Linked DNA regions of Kluyveromyces lactis. Each later gene encodes a partner of the first gene's protein in a complex. Links are inferred from orthologs where the notes say so. Each region holds a gene or a part of one and is shown in the gene's direction. Other genes may lie near its edges. The genes, in order: HDA1 and HDA2.

What was found.
Region 2: the proteins of HDA1 (region 1) and HDA2 are in contact, whole or in part, in a cryo-EM structure (PDB 6Z6O), measured with the Saccharomyces cerevisiae proteins. The link is inferred for Kluyveromyces lactis from reciprocal best matches to the Saccharomyces cerevisiae genes HDA1 and HDA2. Residues at the interface, in NP_014377.1 of Saccharomyces cerevisiae: Met48, Ile51, Leu56, Val64, Arg65, Arg67, Tyr68, Ala70, Phe73, Tyr76, Phe77, Tyr79, Ile80, Arg88, Tyr91, Thr107, Leu108, Ser109, Gly110, Pro122, Val123, Arg124, Glu147, Arg151, Asn167, Asn168, Asp169, Val189, Glu190, Gly191; in NP_010581.3 of Saccharomyces cerevisiae: Pro105, Thr106, Glu107, Asn124, Phe128, Gly160, Lys161, Lys162, Arg447, Leu448, Glu450, Thr451, Arg453, Gln454, Asn455, Asp458, Lys461, Val464, Gly465, Phe468, Lys469, Gln472, Asn557, Ser561, Asn564, Asp565, Arg568, Tyr571, Gln572, Ser575.

The regions. Positions count from the first base shown.
Region 1 is NC_006041.1:752,638-756,729, forward strand, and holds HDA1 (histone deacetylase HDA1), read left to right. Parts: upstream 1-1,410; coding exon 1,411-3,525; downstream 3,526-4,092. Other genes in the region: rRNA (cytosine-C5-)-methyltransferase RCM1, read right to left, coding at 1-727; KLLA0_E08405g (Ark/Prk/Nak family serine/threonine-protein kinase), read right to left, coding at 3,568-4,092. UniProt on the Saccharomyces cerevisiae protein: Responsible for the deacetylation of lysine residues on the N-terminal part of the core histones (H2A, H2B, H3 and H4).
Region 2 is NC_006039.1:895,881-900,017, forward strand, and holds HDA2 (Hda2p), read left to right. Parts: upstream 1-1,475; coding exon 1,476-3,380; downstream 3,381-4,137. Other genes in the region: GTPase-activating protein NEL1, read left to right, coding at 1-1,130; sphinganine-1-phosphate aldolase DPL1, read left to right, coding at 3,904-4,137. UniProt on the Saccharomyces cerevisiae protein: Required for activity of HDA1 histone deacetylase complex. The HDA1 histone deacetylase complex is responsible for the deacetylation of lysine residues on the N-terminal part of the core histones (H2A, H2B, H3 and H4).

The DNA.
Region 1 (4,092 bases):
CGTCAGTACTGTTTGGATTGAGGATGTGGGCGGGGAAACAGGATGCCCTGTCTTGAATGATAATTTTCCCCCTCTTATATTGCTCATGCGAAGTGATCTTATCACCTGGATGAATGCCAAACAAGTTTGGAATATACTCATCGTAATATATGCTCCCAGGAACGATTTGTTTCCAAGAGTTCACTCTTTGTGGGAATTTCTTGTTTAATTCAGCAAGAACATCGTCATATCTTTCCTTGACAAGGATAGGGTTAATTCTGATCCAACGAACCGGTGTAACATCTTCTCCATCATCGGTTTTGATTAACTGCGACAGACTGGTGACTTTAAGTTTAACTTTGAGCTTTGTCAACTCAGCCTTTAACCTAGTCTGATGCTTCAAAATGAAAGTTTTGATAGGATGCTTACCCATCTGAATCCGCTTCGATTTTGAAAGTAAAAGGTCGTGTACTAGGAGCCTTATGGTATCCTTATTGAACAGCGGTTTCCCTTTCTTTTTCGGTACGTCCTCCAAGATCCCGCTCTTCTTAATGATTTTATCTAGATATTCCCTATACTGCCATGTACTACTAACAATGGCATAAATGTGACGAGGATTTGTCTTCAGCTTATATCTTTTACAACTAGTAAGTACCAAGGTCTGTAACGAACCTGCAACTCTCTTGTCTTTAGAGAGCTCCTGTTCCACGAATTCCAATACCCAGGTTGCATCACGGTAGAATTCCATCTCGAATCACAATGAAGTTAAAATGAAAATCCAATGAAATAGCGCTGTATAGCTTGTACCACAGATCCAGCAAAATCAGTTCTAACACGTAACTATATTACGTCTATTCTATACCTCATCGCGATGAGCTCTTGTTACATGTTTCTTCATACGTATTATACATTTTCAATTTTCAGTACTTGAAGAGTCCGATGTTGAAAAATAATTTCTTTTCTATTGTCACCTCAGTTTGGTTTTCTGTAAATATTGGAACTTTAAAACATCAACAATTTCCTGCGCTCATGGAACCATATGTGAAACAGCTGATCTTCATACGGATCTTCTGAGTACCAGATCCTGTGCAAGACAGCTACGTCCATATAACCAAGGTCAATCAAACGATTCTGACGGTATCTGAACACAAAACAACTTTTTTGGCCAGTAAAATTTCGAGAGATAATCCGAACGAAGAGAGTTCTCTCACAGCTTTTCCGCCATTTTCAGTGGACTTTTAGCCTTTCCTCACGATTAGAAGGTAAAAAGGCGCTCTAGGGAATTAAGCGTGCATTGGAGTTACGTAATTTGTGGTTGTATCATTCATTTCTAGTAGACCGTTTCCCATTGAAAGCTAGTTACGGTATCCCTTTTGCCATTGCCTGTCATTCAACATTATCGTGGTTACCTTTCCATAATATATTCGGAACATGGAAAGTAAAAAACCGGCTGAAGAGCCGCTGGAAAGGCCCAGCATCAAGGAAATTAAAAATGAGGGTACTGCATATACTCTGCCCAGTAAAGATGAATCTCAACGGCCTGTCATTGTTCCACCAACGAAGCCAAAGATTAGATATAGTCTTTTGAAAACCGGGATCTGTTATGATGTGAGGATGCGTTATCATGCTAAGATCTTCACGTCTTACTTCGAATACATCGATCCACATCCAGAGGACCCCCGCCGTATCTACCGTGTTTACAAGATCCTAGCGGAGAATGGATTGATTCAGGACCCAACTTTGAGTGGTGCAGATTCGATCGGAGATCTAATGGTGAAGGTTCCCGTACGTGAAGCTGAAGAGGAAGAAATTTTGCAAGTCCATTCAAGACAGCATTTGGATTTCATATCACAGACAGAACAGCTCGAACGTGAAAGTTTACTCAAGGAGACTGAGGGTGGAGATTCCGTGTATTTCAATAATGACTCGTATCTTAGTGCCAAACTTTCATGCGGTGGTGCTATCGAAGCATGTAAGGCTGTCGTCGAGGGAAGAGTGAAAAACTCAATAGCTGTAGTAAGGCCACCTGGTCATCACGCTGAACCTGAAATTGCTGGTGGTTTTTGTTTGTTCAGTAACGTAGCCGTCGCTGCTGCAAATATGCTCAAATCGTATCCTGAAAGTGTTCGTAAAATCATGATCGTTGATTGGGATATCCATCATGGTAACGGAACTCAAAAGGCCTTCTATGACGATGATAGAGTTTTATATGTATCTCTTCACAGGTATCAATTAGGCAAGTATTACCCAGGTACTATCCATGGAAACTATGACCAAACCGGCGAAGGGAAAGGTGAAGGTTTCAATTGTAATATAACGTGGCCAACAGGCGGTGTTGGTGATGCTGAATACATGTGGGCTTTTGAACAAGTTATCATGCCAATGGGTCGCGAGTTTGAACCGGATTTGGTCCTTATTTCATCTGGTTTTGATGCAGCCGATGGTGACACTATCGGCCAATGCCATGTTACTCCTGCTTGTTACGGTCACATGACCCATATGCTACTTTCGTTGGCTAAAGGAAACTTGTGTGTTGTCTTAGAAGGTGGGTACAATTTGGATTCTATAGCTAAGTCGGCGCTTGGTGTTTGTAAGGTGTTGGTCGGAGAACCACCAGATGAATTGCCTGCTCCTAAAAAGCAACCAACTCCAGAGGCAAAAAAAATGATCGAAACAGTCATCAGAACGCAGTCAAAGTATTGGTCTTGCTTTAAGAACAGACATGGAAATGACGGGATCAATTTCAAGGATGCTATAACTTCAACATTGGACACAAGGAATTTCCCTTTACAAAATGCTATTAGAGAATACCAAGTTTCACAGCTCTCATCACAATTCAACTTTGTTCAACTTCCAATTCTTGATTTGAATTTACCAGCAAATACTATGCTATGCACCTCAGGTATCCAAGACTCTGAAACACTTGTGGTGATCGTGCATGACACACCAGAGATTTGGTCTGAACGTGACACACAGACAGGAATTATTGATCCTTCTAGTTCAATTATCGTCGACAATGCTTTGAAGATGATCAATTGGGCAATGGATAGAAGATATGGAATAATTGACATAAATATACCTCAAACACTCTTTGAACATGCCAACTACCCAGGTGTTGCGTCATCACAAGAGATTCTGATATATTTATGGGATAACTACTTGAAATTCTTCCAAAATCTACAAAAGGTGGCATTTATCGGCATTGGAGATGCCTACGGAGGCATTGTCCATTTATTAGGCCATAGGGATACCAGGTCAGTGGTAAAATGTGCAATATCATTTTTAGACAAAAAACCTCTTAAAGTAATGGTGCCATTAATTGACGAAACGTTAGGAGATTGGTATTTCAAGAATTCCTTGGTATTCACAAGTAGCACACATTCTTGTTGGGGTAGTACGGCCAACGAAAATAAGAAGTTAAGAAAGAAGTATGGTAGAGTTTTGAAGGCAGATTGTGACGGAATGACAAACATATTCGATGAACGTTTTGAAGAAGCAACTGATTTCATATTGGATTCTTTCGAAGAATGGAGTGAATCGGAATAATTAGAATATCATTATAAAGATATATGTAATTTTAAAAGTATTCTATAATGCACTTGGAAATCTTCTTTCAAACTCTTTCATTTCTTTTCGAGATTGGAAAGGGCTACCCACAGAATCTTGATCGGAATCCTGCTCTTTAACTTCGGATTTTGCTGGGCTTGTTCTGAAAGATTTTGCCTTTAGGTGTTTAGGCTTAGGTGGAAGATTTGGCTTCAAATGAGCTGGTTTGGGTGGCGGTGCTGGTTTGGATTTAGGAGCCTCATGCACAGGAGTGATCACTGTACTTGATTTACGATTTGCATTGGATTTATGGTGGTCAGATATATCGGTTTTCCTCCCAATATCAGTATATTTCCCGTATCCAGTGGCAGAAGAGCGATTGGGTATATCATCTGCATTGATTAGATCTTTAACGCGCTTCTGGATCGAAGATGAAGTTTTCAAGGAAGAGGATCTTCTCAGTGATGATTTTGGTTTCTCCTTTTGTATATCTTCGATCAATTCATAGTCATTATTTTCCGGAACGAAGGAAAACGAGCTGGTGGACCGCCTATGGGATTTGGTGTT
Region 2 (4,137 bases), on another chromosome or scaffold:
AGTTTGCTCCATGCACGGTATTCGTCGCATCCATGGATCAGGTCGGAATATGGGAGATGAGATCCTGTTTGAACAACTTTATTCAATACGAATCCTTCAATGATAGAAATTTCATATATGATTGGCAGGCGTATATTCAAGGGAAAGGATGTTATGAAATAACCAGAATTGTTATCAAAACTTCTAACAAGCTATTACTGAATGGGATCTTTGGTCCAGTCTCATCCTTGAAAGACAAGGACACACATGTATCTGACACTCCAAAGGGCTTTGGAGGGTCTGGAACCTTCCGTTACAAAGGGCCAAGTAGTAATCTACCATCAATTTTGATAAGTTTATCTGTTGATACATCTCGCAGCGCTGCTGAAGCCTTGCAAGAAATGCCAGATAAATTTTCCTTTCAAATGGAATGCTACTATAAACACTTGAATCAAGAATACGTTTCTGTAGAAACGAAATTTATTCCCAGTACAACCTTACCAGGTGAACATCTTTTAACCCAAAATTTCCACTGGGATATAATGGCTGGATCCATAATGAAAAAAATATCTTTCGCTGTCTTGTTTCAAGGCAAGTTTTATGATTACGATCTAAGGTGGTGGACGTTAGAAATAGTAAAACTTCTTAAATCATTGAATGCCATCGATGTTCCTGGCATTAAATCCTTACAAGAAGTAACGTACTTTATGCAAAGATCAACTCTCTTAAGGAAGAGAAATACATCGCCTGACGAGTGGATCGTCTACCATTGGACAATTCTGAATTCCCCTTTAAGTCATATATTCAAGATGGTTAGACCCCAAGTGTATTCGACCACAGGGCTTATTCAAAATACAACTGACATCCTTAATTATGCCGAACCTTTATTGGTAGATGGTGGTAACGTCCTTGTGGTACGAGATACTTCAGTAGGAGATAGCAGAGTTGACAGTTTGAAGGCAGCTGCTGATACCATATACCACGATGGAAGTCGATTTCCAAAGCCTTGGTATCGAGAAACCAAGCCAGGTGCTAGTCAGGATAGATTTGTAATTGCACGACTAGGCTTAACTGCAGAACATTCTTTGCATTCTGATGACCTCACGCTTGATAAATACATGGCACTGTTTAAATCAAAAAGTACTGCATGAAAAGTATGTAATCATTCATTTTACCTCTCAACAGATATCATGAACTCTATATATATATAACCAAAACCAAAAGGTTAGAATAGTTCCCCATTTACTGTCGCAACCTTCGAATCTATCGCTCCCCCTTTGAATAACAATTGTATGGCAGGAAAAGATACTATGTACGTATTCCTTGGTTTCTCCATCTGTCGCTTTTCAAAAATGACATATTTCATTTTTTAAAAGATACTATATAATTAAATCTAACCATTCTTTCCGAATAGCACATTAAAAGCCAGAGTCCAGAGGAAAAGAAAGAGAAACTGCAAGCGCGAGCCATTGGGTCGTTTCATTAGGGAAAGAAAGATGAACTCCACTTCCAACCGGACTCAGGTATTTTATATACCTGTTGGCCTAACTCAAGTTCAGAAAGATTTGTTGGAAATTTTAATCTCGATACATGCAGAGTCGTTTGTCTCATGTGTAGATAAACGTCTACTGCCAGAACTACAATCTAAATTAGAAAAAAAAGGGACAAATCTCAAAAGAGACTTGAGTATGACTGCATTAACAGATGTTCAGTTAACTGAATGGTTCTTCGAAAATATAAGAGCTGTCTCGAATCACCCTTGCCTGTTAGTTGAGCATTATATGCCTAGACAGTTTTTGTTAATGGAACCAACTGAAAGGTTGATATACACCAGCGATAAATTTGGCAAGTTAAATCTAATGGTTGATCTTTTATTGAATCGTAAGGACAAATCGAGGCCATTGCAAGTTGCTATCATTTCACATTCTGTGAAAGAATTGGATTTGATTGAAGGCGTCATGTTGGGAAAAGTTGCAAAGTTGAAGAGGTTATCTGGAACTTCTTTGTTTGACGAAAAACATGAATATGACGATCAAACTTCTGGTTCAAGAACAACCAATGGTGAAAATTCATCAAGTTCTGGTAGCGTAGCTCCTGAGCAAATCGGAAAATCGAAAGATGAATACAACTACTCTAAGTCAAGACGTAAGAATAACATATCTCAACTTGACTGGTTGTTTTTGGCAACAACCACACATTTGACACACTCTGAAGATTTACTTTCTAGGTACAATCTGGATCTTATCATCAGTTTTGATCCAATGCTGGACGAATCGTTACCATCGATATTCAAAGTCAGGAAAAATGGCAGAAAAACTCCTCTGTTTAAGCTATTGGTCCAAGATTCTCCGGATCACTATTTGTTATCCAAAAAGAAGCCAACTACTACTTCCGAAAAGCTAATTTTGGATTCCATTGTTCATTTTCTAAAGTATCGTGCCGATATCAAAGATCTTATTTCTTTACAACAATATGAAAATATTATTGACTCATTGATCAAAGAGACGGACCCTGGTGAATTTCTCCCAAGTGTAAATCCAGGAAGTTCGAGAAATAATGATGATTTGATTCCTTTTCTAACTAACCCAATGGAATTGATGCCTCTAACTTACGGAAAATATGAATTAAGGCTACAATCAGGACCAATGGACATTAAAAATTATCAGTATATTTTAAAAACACTCACGGCAGAACGACTCAAACAATGCCATGTAGAATATGAAGAGCGTGAAAAACTAGTCCTCAAGACCAGATTGAAAGAAACTAAAAGGTTAAATGACTTTGATGATTTGAAGGTGAATATCGGACAACATTTCAAAAAACTCAAAGAAAATGAAACCAAAATCAACGACTCTGAAAAACGCGTTGAAAGAACAAGATCTGAGTTGGAAGTTTTAGAAGAACGTCTAAAGAGCTTGGTTGAACGCAAATCCGAGCTTGTAAGGCTCTTAACTCTCGAAGATATTGCAAAAGAAATTGAAAATCAGAAGCAACAACATACCAAGCTATCAGATGAAGTTTCTTCCTTCAAGAAGAGTAACGATGAAGAGTCCTTTAAGAATGACGATTTGAGATCTAGCTACCAACAAAAATCGTCTGAGGCTGCTTCAGAAGTGCTAAAGACTTCAGCTCTGAAAGCTGAGAAAGAGGAGTTGGAACGCCAATTGAATGGACCTTTCACCAAGTGGGAACTTATTATATTGCAAGAAAAAGAAGCACAACTCAAATCTTCCTTACGCAAAATGGTACAGCAGTCTCAATTCCTAATACAATACATGAACCGAATACAAGGCCAATACAACATTGAAAACGAACCTGCAAAAAAATCATCTCCGGCAACGAACAACTCGTCAAGGTACACTACAAGAACTACCAGGGCTACTTCTCCTACGTACACATAAGTATTACTCCTTCTAGGATACATCCAGACCAAACCATCTCTCAACTACTGCATGCAATATACTGATATCTGAAAGCCTGTCAGATTCTGGTAAACACAAGCTTGCTTGCAAAATTGTAACACTAGCGCAATTACTCCTCTATATAGACCAGTTTGTATTATGTGAGTCAATAGTGACTTGTTCATTCTAATTTCGACATGACCACCCTAACTGCGGCAGTAACGGATCGGCATAACCATATTCAGTTGAAACTGGAACATAGAATTTGAGCTTTTTTTTTCGTACTTTTCGGATTTTAAAGACCTTTACTGATTCGTCTGGTATTTTGCATATAGGGTAGAAAATAAGAACTTTTAGTAGATTTTATGTCTTGCTCTCAAATTGAAAGCAGAAACTAAGGGTATACAGTTCTTTTTTTTTTCTTACCATTGCGTTGTATTGAGCTGACTCCCACAAAATAATAACACTTTAATCTTGGCTACTGTTAAACTCTGAACTTGATTTTGATACAAGTTTTCTGATAATGGGAAAGATGAGTTTCATTGAAGGATTGCAGAAGCGCTTTTTTTTAGGATATTCATACAAATACAACACGTTCGAACTTGATCCTATTATACTGGCAACTTCTATCAAGGTGGCAGTTTTAGATTATTTTCGGAATACGCCTTGGTATTGGATCATCAGAGACGCCGTCTTTTACCATCTGCTTTTTAACGTTTTGTCCCGGATTATTTTGTACATAAGGGGGTATGGGCTT